3 linked regions of the Danio rerio genome follow. The protein of the gene in region 1 interacts with the protein of each later gene in a pairwise test. Links are inferred from orthologs where the notes say so. Each region holds a gene or a part of one and is shown in the gene's direction. Other genes may lie near its edges. The genes, in order: klhl42, stam2 and si:dkeyp-72e1.9.

The links.
Region 2: the proteins of klhl42 (region 1) and stam2 interact in binary tests that used the Homo sapiens proteins (3 or more experiments, as listed by UniProt). The two-hybrid records come from large-scale screens. The link is inferred for Danio rerio from reciprocal best matches to the Homo sapiens genes KLHL42 and STAM2.
Region 3: the proteins of klhl42 (region 1) and si:dkeyp-72e1.9 interact in a two-hybrid assay, tested with the Homo sapiens proteins (2 studies listed by BioGRID and IntAct). The two-hybrid records come from large-scale screens. The link is inferred for Danio rerio from reciprocal best matches to the Homo sapiens genes KLHL42 and STXBP4.

Annotation. Positions count from the first base shown.
Region 1 is NC_133179.1:18,229,776-18,234,141, reverse strand, and holds the start of klhl42 (kelch-like protein 42), read left to right. Parts: upstream 1-1,511; 5' UTR 1,512-1,553; exon of another isoform or gene 1,554-1,557; intron 1,558-1,670; coding exon of another isoform or gene 1,671-1,693; exon of another isoform or gene 1,694-1,802; intron 1,803-2,340; exon of another isoform or gene 2,341-2,656; 5' UTR 2,657-2,705; coding exon 2,706-3,472; intron 3,473-4,366. Other genes in the region: cwf19l1 (CWF19-like protein 1), read right to left, coding at 1,057-1,158, 1,257-1,341, 1,427-1,511, 1,671-1,693. UniProt on the Homo sapiens protein: Substrate-specific adapter of a BCR (BTB-CUL3-RBX1) E3 ubiquitin-protein ligase complex required for mitotic progression and cytokinesis. The BCR(KLHL42) E3 ubiquitin ligase complex mediates the ubiquitination and subsequent degradation of KATNA1.
Region 2 is NC_133184.1:39,754,812-39,759,007, forward strand, and holds the start of stam2 (signal transducing adapter molecule 2), read left to right. Parts: upstream 1-1,290; 5' UTR 1,291-1,415; coding exon 1,416-1,455; intron 1,456-3,994; coding exon 3,995-4,079; intron 4,080-4,196. Other genes in the region: hacd2 (very-long-chain (3R)-3-hydroxyacyl-CoA dehydratase 2), read right to left, coding at 667-791.
Region 3 is NC_133178.1:35,425,067-35,428,722, forward strand, and holds part of si:dkeyp-72e1.9 (syntaxin-binding protein 4), read left to right. Parts: intron 1-349; coding exon 350-415; intron 416-630; coding exon 631-819; intron 820-2,022; coding exon 2,023-2,139; intron 2,140-3,149; coding exon 3,150-3,199; intron 3,200-3,276; coding exon 3,277-3,407; intron 3,408-3,656. UniProt on the Homo sapiens protein: Plays a role in the translocation of transport vesicles from the cytoplasm to the plasma membrane. Inhibits the translocation of SLC2A4 from intracellular vesicles to the plasma membrane by STX4A binding and preventing the interaction between STX4A and VAMP2.

The DNA of each region.
Region 1 (4,366 bases):
GTATGTGTTTAAAATTATATTTATTAATATTATTGCAGATTTTCACTTAAACTGATTTTCACTTATTGATAAACAAATATACATTTATTAAAATAGTTCTATCTTTTTAAATTAATTTTGCTTGGACATCCTAGAACATAAGCCTTGAATAAATCAAAATTACTCAAAATATTATTATTAATAATAAAATAATTAATTATTACTTCTGGTAATTACTTTAATTAAATCAAACATATATTATTTTCCATTCATATGTCATTTAATAGGATAGTACAGACAAAAATGAAATCTCTGACACGGTTTACTCAACCTTCACTTGTTTATAACCTATTTACAGTTATTTTGAAAAATGCTGGTTGCTGGTACCCATTGACGTCTGTAGAATTTTTCTTCCTACTATGGAAGTCTATGGGTGACAGAAACCAGCATTCTTATAAACATCTTATTTTGTGTTCAATAAAAGAAAAAAATATAAAGGTTTAAAACTACACAAGTAAGTGGTGAGGTCATTTTCATTTTTGGGTGAACTAACCCTTTACATATAACATATACCACAACCACAGGGTATTGGGGAAAAATACAAATATCAATTTTATATATAATCTGGAATTATTTATTTAATTATTTGTTTATTATAATGCCATATCAGCAACATTGGTTATATTCATGGCAAAACCTTTACAAATTATACAACAAAATAACATAAAATCATATCAGTTTCTAAACAAACATTCACTGTAAAAAAACAACATCATACAAATATTTTTCCTTTTTTATGATTTGTATTTAATATTTTTCTATAACATAAAATTGTGTGTACTAGTTTTTGGACTGTTATCGTAAGTTATTTTGTTAGATAAGCTCCAGATTTGGCTTCAGTACTGACTAATCTAATGTAAATGCACAAATACAATATTGCTTCCTAATAATATGAAATATAAAAATATAGAAAATATGAATTAAAAAATATATATATTTGTGAGGGGTGTACTTATATATGCCGAGCACAGCAAATAGACACAGACAGAAAGATATGGGGTTATAGATTCATCTTACCCAAACACGTAATATTTTCTGCCAACTCACAGCCATCAGAGCTTGGAAAATACTTGACAGTCTCTTGACTGGCTGCACCGAGAATACAAGTATGGATGGGCGCTGGGGATTTAAACACATCCCTGATCAACATCACTGACATTCACTTCCTGTGATTACAGATATACTGCACAATTTAAACATGTTTAAAGTGACCTTACCCTTTTTTGCCCCAGATTTGTATGTTGCCCATTCTGCTTCAGCTTCAGGGGAGCTTCCAAAAAAGTCACCAACACACAGCAGCAACTGAAAAACAAATCTCAGTAAACACAAACTATCTCTCTTTTCAAGTTCGTCTCTTTAAAATAAGACTCTACACGTGTAAACTCACATCAAATTGCCCGCTCTTTTTCTGGATGGCGTTCACCCGGTTGAACAAGGCATTTATTCTTCCTTCAACGTCACCACACGCCAGTCTGAGGGGGAAATAAACATTTAATCAGCGTGGAGGCAAAAAGGCACGTGAGTTTATTACTTAGGGATCTCCATCTATTTTGTTAAAGACGACTCTAAATAGCACATGTATTACATGCAGCATTCTCATAAGCCGCTTTTCAGCCCAAGTTAACACTTACACTCTTAAAGGCTTGTCTCCCATACCGAACAATACTTAAATGTTTGTTACATATGCTTAAAATTGTTGTCGCTTGTGTCTGAGCATTGGCGTTGAATTTTGTGCGTCGACAAAATAAACCCTGACAGAACGTAGAGCTAATAATGTTGTCCGGCCATTTACGAAGTATACATATTAAAGCGAAAGTTGTTTTTGGTGCTATAGATCATTAATTAAATTAGAGTGAATGTTAAAGTGTGAAACATAGGCTTTTAAAACACGGCAGTATGCATCACAAGCCTATAACGTTAAGCGCATCACGTTTCTATACGGAAGAAATAAATGTGTGACACGTTCTCTGAACGCTTCGCATCAAGCAATGATTTCTTTAGCAATTCATAGTTGTTATTCCGTAAAATTAATACATATTTCGAAGCACAATATGCCACAACATATGACAAAAGTAATTAAGAAAGTAAATCAATTTAATAAAACGTAAAAAACTAAACACATAAACATAATTGTTAATAATGACAAAATAGTAGCAGCAGTAATAGGTGTTAATGTAAAAATAATGTAATGTAAAAATAAAATGACAACAATTATTATTTTATAACGCAAAACCGTGGCTAACAAGACGTGTACGGCGTGACGTAACACTACTTACAAAACCAAAACAGGAACTGATTTACATTTGAAAACACGAAGTGCAAACTGTACAGAACAAAAATAAACTGCTATATTATGATACCACGACATTAATACCATAGGACCTGAGTTTTAAAAAATGTAATGGATCGATCAAGAATGCACATCAGCTGACTGCATAATCTGCCAAATGAAGAACATCTACACAAGCAGACGAGTTCATGAAGCATTATTATATATCATATGCAGGTCGTCCGTCTGCAATGCAGAACTTGTTTGCAAATGAAGCGGATGTTTATGGAATACATGCATGCAGATGAACTGACTCCGAATCGATGCGCTCAACATTTCCATATATAGGCTTTGGGACAGGAGCGCCTTCACGACCGCTGATCCCAGAACAGCAGCCATGACCTCCCCCGAGCAGATAATAGAGATCGTGATGGATGACAAGACGTACAATGTGAGTAAAAGCAAACTAATCGAGAAGAGCGATTACTTCCGCGCGCTCTACAGCTCCGGGATGCGCGAGTCCGCGGAGGATTCGGTGCGGCTGCGGGGACTGAGCGCGCCCGGGCTCGAGCTAGTGCTGGAGTTCATCAACACCTCCAAAGTTCAGGTGGACAACGAGACTCTGGAGGACCTGATCGAAACAGCATCCTTCCTGCAAGTCACGTCCATCCTAAAGCTGCTTCTGTCTGAAATCAAGCAGGAGAACTGCGTGGAGCTCTTCAAGCTCTCTGAGGTCTATGGGATGCACGAGCTGAGAAGGGCTTGCCTGAAATTCATGAGCTGTTATTATCATCCTATGCTGCGCAGGCCAGAGTTCAGGATGTTGGCAGCTAATGTGCGAGAACAGATCCGAGATATCCGCCTGAAAGGCACAGCCACTTTAGTAGCAATAGGGGATTTTACTCACACCTGTCTGGATTTGGCGAATCAGGATGAGCCTTGGTCCATGTTGAGGTATGGTGAGGTAGAACAACGCTGGAAACCTCTGGCCAGCAACCTTCCTCAGGATATGATCAATGTCAGGGGTTATGGATCTGCTGTGCTGGACAACTACTTGTTTATTGTTGGAGGATACAGAATGACAAGTCAAGAGATCTCAGCCGCACATTGTTACAACCCCTCCAAGAATGAGTGGAACCAAGTGGCATCTCTGAACCAGAAGAGGTACAATTCATTTCTTCAGTGGAAGGGGCCTTTAAAGCTGATAAAATTAGATATGGTCACTTTACTCATTCTCAGTCGATACAAGCAGATTTTTTTCTTAAGCATGTCAGTAGAAACAATTTTTAGCTGAAGACGTGATCCTTTATTTTTTATAAAATGCAAATCAATCGCTACAAAGACTTTAAGAGTCAAAAATATACTAAATACCTTTGGTTCCTGACAAAAAAACAAGGCCTCATGACGTTAAATGATTGGTTTGTACAAGAAATTGAACGTTATTTACAACATTACTCTTTATTCACAGCTTTGGGAAACAGTCCGGAGTGCAATCATGACAGACGTGTGGGGCAAATTTAAACTGTACATTGAGCTGACGCTGTTTGTCATTCATTTACTTTCTTATTTCCTTTATTAATCAGGGCTTGCCACAGGGGAATCAACCGCCAACTTATCCAGCACGTTTTACACGGCGGATGCCCTTCCAGCTGCAACCCATCATTAGGAAACACCCATGCACTCTCATTCACACATACACTATGGACAAATAGCTTACGTCTGCCTGTCAGGAAAACTGGAGCACCTGGAGGTTTTGTTTACATTTTTATTTTCATATAGGTTGCAACATTATAACATGCAATATAATATGCAAAATTATCAGCACAGTGGTTTTACTTACCCTCCAGTTGCACAGTGTAAAGTATGGCTGGTCTGATAAATTCTATGATATTAAATCGCGATAAAACTATCGCGCCAATAACAATGATAAGCTCTGGATTTTATTACTCTATATTGATCCATAAGCCAATCACAGAGCAGAAATGCGATCTAAAAGTGTGTCAATTTTAGAGATGTCCCTAATTTTCAGCCACTGAAAATTTATTGGCTGAAAAATAT
Region 2 (4,196 bases), on another chromosome or scaffold:
TTTTTTTTTTTATTTAAGGCAAAGTATAGTCACAAAGTATATCCAATGCTTCACATTCGCCATGAATTTGCTAAATAAGCTTTACATTACATATGCTCATGTAAAAAACAACGATGAGTGATTTAGAAACGAATCGGCTGTCTCGAATCGAATCGATTAGTTCCTGAAACGGACATTATTGTGCAACAGTTTCTGGGTTACTAGGTCTAAGGTGCGCTTAATTCACTGCCTAGTCTAATGTCTACAAACTATACAAGGCTACATTCAAACTAACAAAGACACTAAATTCACTACAAGCCCTGTTACAACGCTGCCCAAACAAACCAGCGACTGTAAAACAAGAACAATGCATTCATGCAACAACAACCAATGCTCGCTGTCACCCATCACCAACCCTACGGCGAGTTAAATAAGCGATAATAGGCTTTACGTTACACCGCATTTGGATTGCACAGCAGACATGTGCAGAATAACTTTGTTGAAATGTTTCAGCTTTCAAATTAAACAGTGTTAAATAATACAATATAGACTCAATGGGGGAGGTGACCGCGATTCTGTCATACAGGCTGAAGAAATCCAACCATTCATTTCTGCTGTCACACACACACACACACACACACACGCTTGAAGAGAGAAGCACGGAAGCGCATTTGATTTCCACCATACCCTGCTGTCATAATCACGTTGTAAATGACCAGATATGCTGTGGCCAGTGTTCCGGGGCCCTTTTTCTTCTTGTGACCGGACTCACTGTGCGCTGTTTTGCTGGTCCCCATGGCAGGTGCCGACATGACTGAACTATCATTAGAAAGACTGGATCATCCAATGGTCCCGGTGGATAAAGGCGTGTGGCCTTGCTGACATGTAAAAAAGCTGCTTATGAATCCAGCGCCCTCTGGTGAGGACAGAGTGTAAACAATGCTTTGTTTTTTCAGTTACAGACTAGCGTCGTCTTTTTCGCAAGCATTTACATCAAATACAACTAAAATAATATGATTACAGTAATGTATGTGAATATATTGAGATTATTTAAAGTGAATTATGATGTTCTAGAAACATCTAAACTAGCCGCTAGATGGCAGTGCGAGTCTTGAAGTCAGAGCGCACTTCTGACTCAACCTATGCGCCTGTCTGAAATATAAACATATATATTTTTAAATATGCACAAGTATAATAATTTACTGGTTAAATTTTGAGTATTAATATAATTTGTGAACATGCTGCTTTAAATGTAGAATATGTTGACAGTTTCCTGGATGTATTTTCTGGCAGGCATTGCGCTCGTCTACTAAGTTTACGGAAGAGCAACTGGTGGAAGTGAACGCAATTTAATGGATGAGAGAAGGATAAATCGTCGATCTACGTAGATAATACGCTTCAGTTTTTTTCTTTGACACATAGGAAAAGGTTACAAAATGCCGTTGTTTGGTCAAAACCCGTTCGATCAGGATGTGGGTGAGTTTGGCAGTGTTGTTTTTGTCGAAGTGATGTGGTCTTGACAAGTCAGTAACTAAGGGCCGATCCAGCAGCGCTCCGTTCACTGCAAGATCCTCAAGAGCTCTGTTATTGTTTTGTTTATCGGTCATTCATAACTTATTTATCAAAATCTAACTATTAAAGCTGTCAAATGTAAAATAGATAACTGACAGTGTCTTTGGGATGTTGTTTTGAATTTCAAGAACTTTTTAGATGAACACTAAATGCTGAAATTATTCTTTTTTCCATCAAAATTTCTTTTATTTTGAATTATGTCAACACAATAAACATGACGTAGATGACAGCATAGCAGTGTGCATAAGAAAATACATTTAATAATCAAAATATAGGAATACAGGTTTTTGAATAATATTAATATTTGTAATAAGGGCAACAACAATAATAGTGACAATAAGAATAAAAAACTGAAGAATAAACGACAAAGACATACTAAAACAAATGATAATTATAAATATATACACACACACACACACACATATATATATGTACCGGTCAAGTGTTTGAGGTCAGTTTTTATTAAATTCTTCATTTTTTTAGTTAATATTGTATGTAGTTTCAAATGAAATTATTACTCCGTTCATTAATGCTTTTATTACTTTTTTCATTAATTATAAAAAAATAATAATCATAATAATTAATATTAGAGAGATTTCTCATGTGACTCTGAAGTAATGAAGCTGAAAAAGCATCTTTAAAATCACTGGAATTAATGAATAAATTAAATTATAAAGTACTTTTGAACAGTTATTTTATAGTGCAATACCATTTTACAATTGTACAGTTTGTCCTGTAATAAAGGCAAAAAATAAAGGCAGCCTTAGTGAGCAGGAGAAGCTTATTTTAATACACACACACACACACACACACACACACACACGTATATATATATATATATATATATATATATATATATATATATATATATATATATATATATATATATATATTATATTATAATTATTATTACTATTAGGCCAGCTCAAAGTAAATAATTAAAAGAATAGTAATAAACAAATAGATTAAGATATTCGAAAACATACTGATAGAAGTCTACGGCAATGAAGTAAAGTTAGTAAAAGCCCAAACAGGGAACCTTAAACAACTACACCAAAACCATAAGTTTTTTTGTTTTTGGATGTCTCCTTGATTCAAATTATATTGAAATTGTTTTTAAATTTATTTTATTGCTTGATTACTGACAAAAATATTTTTTAAATATATATTTTTGTGGCAGGGTCTTCAGTACGAAATATGAAAATTCTTTAATGCTCCAATAAGTCATATAAAAAAGTAATAATAATTTAATAATAATAATTTATTAATATTTAATAATTTAATAATAATAATAGTTGTAATAATACTTTCTTTATATGCTTTGATTTTATTATTCTGGATGTTTACGATAATATTATTTATTATTATTTAGTGTAAAATAATAAATTAATCTAGTTAAAAATAATATAATAAAACATAATTGTGTATTTTTAATAATAATTCATGCTGATTTTAAGATCAAAACGTTCATTTTTAATTAAAAAACGTTTTTATTTTATGTTTTATTTTATTTATTTATATTTATTTTTAATTTCTAGTAAGCTTAAGATTCAGGTATTTATTCTGTATGTTATATTAAAATATTGTTTCATATAATTTAGTATAAAATAATAACAAATAACTGTAATTAAAACAATGTAATTATAACAAATAATAATGTATTACTATGCTGATACTTATGATCAAAATGTCCTGTTTTAAAAGTTTCTGATTTAAAAAAAAAAACGTTTTATTTTATGTTTTATTTGATTTATTTATATTTTTTATTTCTTGTAAGCATGAATGGGTGGAAGATTAATAGGAGCTCAGTTGTCAAAAGGCGTGGAACCTAACAGCACACAATAGCATGATCTTTGGTTTTATTTTCAAAGCTTTGTCCTTTTAGAATTCAGTTTATATAAACGTGTGAAACTGTATGTTCCTTTATGGAGGAAATTAAGGCATATTATTATTGTTCATTTTATTTATTTATTCATGAATATGTACTTTTCTAGATGTTGCAATTCAAGACGTCGTTGTTACGAGTAAGAATTAGTCATAAAAATGTGCCCAGTTGCTTTGTTCTTAAAGGAGGGGGCAAATAATTTCTGCTGGTGGATTATGACAGAAACTGTTGTGCCTGTTGTGACAAGCTGTAAATGTAAAATAACAGGCAAAACAGGCTGTCACTGCTTAACGGTATGCATATCTTATTTTCAATAAACCTATCCTTCGAACTCAGGGATGCAAAACTGATAACTAAAACTAAAAGATTTTCTTTTTAAAATTGTGGTTTTTATTAGTTTTAGTTTTTTAGTGTTTTGTTAACAGCATTTATGGTAAATGAGAAGACATTTCCTCCTGCTGGTTTAGACGTTTGTCAAACACTTATCAGTTTTTTTGATATGGTTCTAGAATGACCTTGCGTTAAGAGTCTCATTTGAATGCTCATTTGTATTTTCAGAGAAAGCAACTAGTGAAACCAACACAGTGGAGGACTGGGGCCTCATTATGGATATCTGTGACCGTGTCGGGACAGCTCCAAATGGGTGAGCTGAAAAATCAACACGCAAACAATATATGAATAGTTTTTCTAAATTCTAATTTTATTACCAGGTAGTTACCTTAATGTCACTAGTATATAGGGATGCACCGATCCTGATATT
Region 3 (3,656 bases), on another chromosome or scaffold:
CATTCATTCATTTATCCATTTACCTTTGGCTTAGTCGCTGAATATTAGGCATTGTCACAGTGGAATGAACTGCCAATGACTCATGTTTTATGCAACAGACCCAGTAATGGAAAAAAATAGGCAGTTCATGACCCTTTAAGATGATTTTTCATTAAAATGGTAGCAAATGGACATGATAAGAAAGAGAAAGGCCTATGATTGGAGACGTTTTGATGAATAAATCATAAAACATATTTAAAGTATAGATATTTTGTATTCTGTATATCCCAGATCTTAAACTGCCATTTTTTTGAGTTTTTAAACAATTTTGCAAGCAAACTAACGTCAAGATTTATCGCATTTTTCTCAGGTGATGCTGAAAGACACAGAGGACAGTAAGAAGACTCTGGAGGATGAACTGCAGAAGACAGCAGAGGTGAAGCCTAAAAAAAAGTTCAACTTGACTAATCTTAAATGTTTCAATATATGCAGTTCAACTATTAAGAGGCATGCAATCTGTTTTAATAAATGGATGACTTTTTTTGCCTTGTCATATTTGAGTATGCCAAATATATGTAATCCCAGCGTTTGAACATATGTGATCATTTAAGATGTTTGGTTGCCTTGTTTGTGTGTGTATGTGTGAAACAGAAGGCCACAGCAACGCTGGAGGAGAATAAGTGTCTGAAGAGTAAACTGCAGGTGGCAGAAGCTGTGCAGAGACAGACCAACAGTGCAGAGCAGGACTATGAGGAGGTCATTCAGCTCCTGGAGGCCGAAATCAAAGATCTGAAAAACCAGCTCGCCGGCAAGAACAAGAGAGGCTTGGAGGCCACTAAGGTACATTTTAGCACATTCCTCTGTTTGCTGAAAAAATATTCACATTATTATTATTCATATTATTATTTTTTGTACATTGTTTTTATTCAAATGTTTTACAATGCCACAAATTCTGATACAAACTTTTACATGTGTATACATTATTTTTACAACAGAATTTAACATCATATACTGCATATGAGGTTAAGGAAAGAGAAAAGAAAAGAAAAGAAAAGAAAAAGAAATTCTGGGAAAATAAATAAATAAATAAATATATATATATATAATTAAATAAATAAATAAAGATTGTTAGATATTCTTGCCTTAATTGCTGCTTTTTTGTTAAATATTCAATAAAGGTTACATAAAAATTCATCTACGTGCTAGAAGTGTTACAGTGTCACTGTAGGCTGATTTTTAGATAGCTCTATATTATCTCTACTGATTATTCATAAATATTTTAAGATATTTGTTTATGATCCCTCTATCTGTCTATCTGGGGGAGGCTCAACAAATGGTATTATTGAACGCCTACAGTGCTCTGTAATACTTTTGAAAATCATGATCGTAATGTTTATTTTAATGCCTAATAATAGATGGTCAGAAAGTAATACATTAAGTTAAGTTAGTAGTTTGAAATAATATCATGTGTAAAAATATATGGAGAAATAAGTCTGTAAAATAACAGAAAATGTACTGGCAGTTTATTACAATGTTTTTGTGCTGTAATATTCATCACCAAACCAGATAATACATTTCTTTAAATTATTAAAAATGTTAATAAAAGTCACTTAAAAGCTGGTGGAAGTTGTTGGAAAGATCAAGCTCCCATAATGCAATTCAAAAACATAAATAAATAAGGAAAAATAAAAAAAATCTAAAAACATGAATCACAAATTACAGAAACTGCTTATTTTCAGATATTTATATTATAATTGTTATAAGACTGTAAAGTGTGACATGATTAAAAGATGGACATAACTTGATTTCCATGTCATGATTTAAGCAGCGAATTATACTGTCCTGTCAAATGAGTGTTTAAAATGTGAAAAGAAAAAAAAAGAAAAAGACATTTACTGAAAATTAATAAACTGTAACATGTTGTATGGTGATTTTAAGGCTTGTTTGTCTTTTTTTTTACTCGGTTGTTTTTTATATTTGAATTAACCAAAATAATTTGAATAGTTTTAGTTCAAGTTATTCTAACTGCCAATTTCTTTTCAGGAGGATGTGATGGATCTGAACAGAAGGCTGACCGCCATTGACAGCCAATTCAGAAAGTCTGAACTCACTCGAAAACACTTGGAGATATCCAACAAGAAGCTCCTTGGCTTTGCCCAGGTAAACATAAAGCACATTTCAAAACTTAAACAAACTATCAGCTGTACACTACCTGACGAAAGTCTTGTCGCCTATCCAAGTTTTAAGAACAACAGATAATAACTTGACTTCTAGTTGATCGTTTGGTATCAGAAGTGGTTTTCTATGAAAGGCAAAGGCCTCTAGATTACACTTATTTTACCAAAATAAAATATGATCATGCCTTGATTTTTAATTATTCCATTAGGACAGTAAGGTCTGACTTGGCTCAGACAAAAGTCTTGTCACTTAACAGAAATAATGTACAGTATAGAATTTAAAATCATGGTGCAGTGGGAATTTTTTTTATATATTATAATATTGTGTATGACTCCAATGAGCTTGGAGAGCTGAACTTATTAATAAAGTCACCTGGAATGACAAAGCGTCCTTGCAGGACTCACAGAGTTTATCAAGATTCTCTGGATTCATCTTCAATGCCTCCTTCTTCATCTTACCCCAGACATGCTCAATAATGTTCATGTCTGGTGACTGGGCTGGCTAATTCTGGAGCACCTTGACCTTCTTTGCTTTCAGAAACTTAGACGTGAAGGCTTAAGTAAAGGAAGGAGCGCTATCCTGCTGAAAATTTGCCCTCTCCTGTGGTTTGTAATGTAATTGGCAGCACTAACATCTTGATACCTCAGGCTGTTGATGTTGCTATCCACTCTGCAGATATCTTTCACGCCTCCATACTAAATGTAACCCCAAACCATGGTTTTTCCTTCACCAAACTTGACTGATATCTGTGAGAATCTTGGGTCTATGAAGGTTCCAGTAGGTCTTCTGCAGTATTTGTGATGATTGGGATGCATTTCAAAAGATGATTCATCAGAAAAATCGACCTTTTGCCACTTTTCAAAATGATCAACTAGTAGTCAAGTTATTATGTGTTGCTCTTACAACTGGGATTGACGACAAGACTTGTCAGGTAGTGTATATAGACATCAGAAGTCCTTCAAAAATATATTTTTTTTACTCTGTTTTTACAGAATGTCCACAAAGTTCTCACCAACACTTACTTATTCGGGATTGAAAATGGGTAAGTTGTTTGAGTCAAACATGCTGAAAGTGTTATTGTCCTTCCGTTCTTGATCCTGACATCTGCTCATCCCACAGGAGTGCACAAGCATCTCCAGCAACCGACAGCCCCGACACACCGTCCCCGATCCCAGACTCGGCCTGCCAGCTCGCAGCCAAGGCCAAAGAGCTTGTGGATGGAGTCTGCTCGCTTTGCACTGAGGATCACAGTAAGTCAGAAATGTGCCGGAGATCATAAGCAGCTTTGCACATGCAGTCTGAATTCCAGTACAAACCTTTTGTCTTTTAGGCTCTTTACACTACTGCGCTTTCATTTTAGCAACTGACCATTTAAACTGAGCAATACAACCTTTTCTATGGACACTGTAGAATATCTGTTGATTTACAGTGTCCATATTTTGTGATTCCCAAGTGTTTTCCATTTATTTACAGTTGTAAATTGCATTATGGGACCTTGA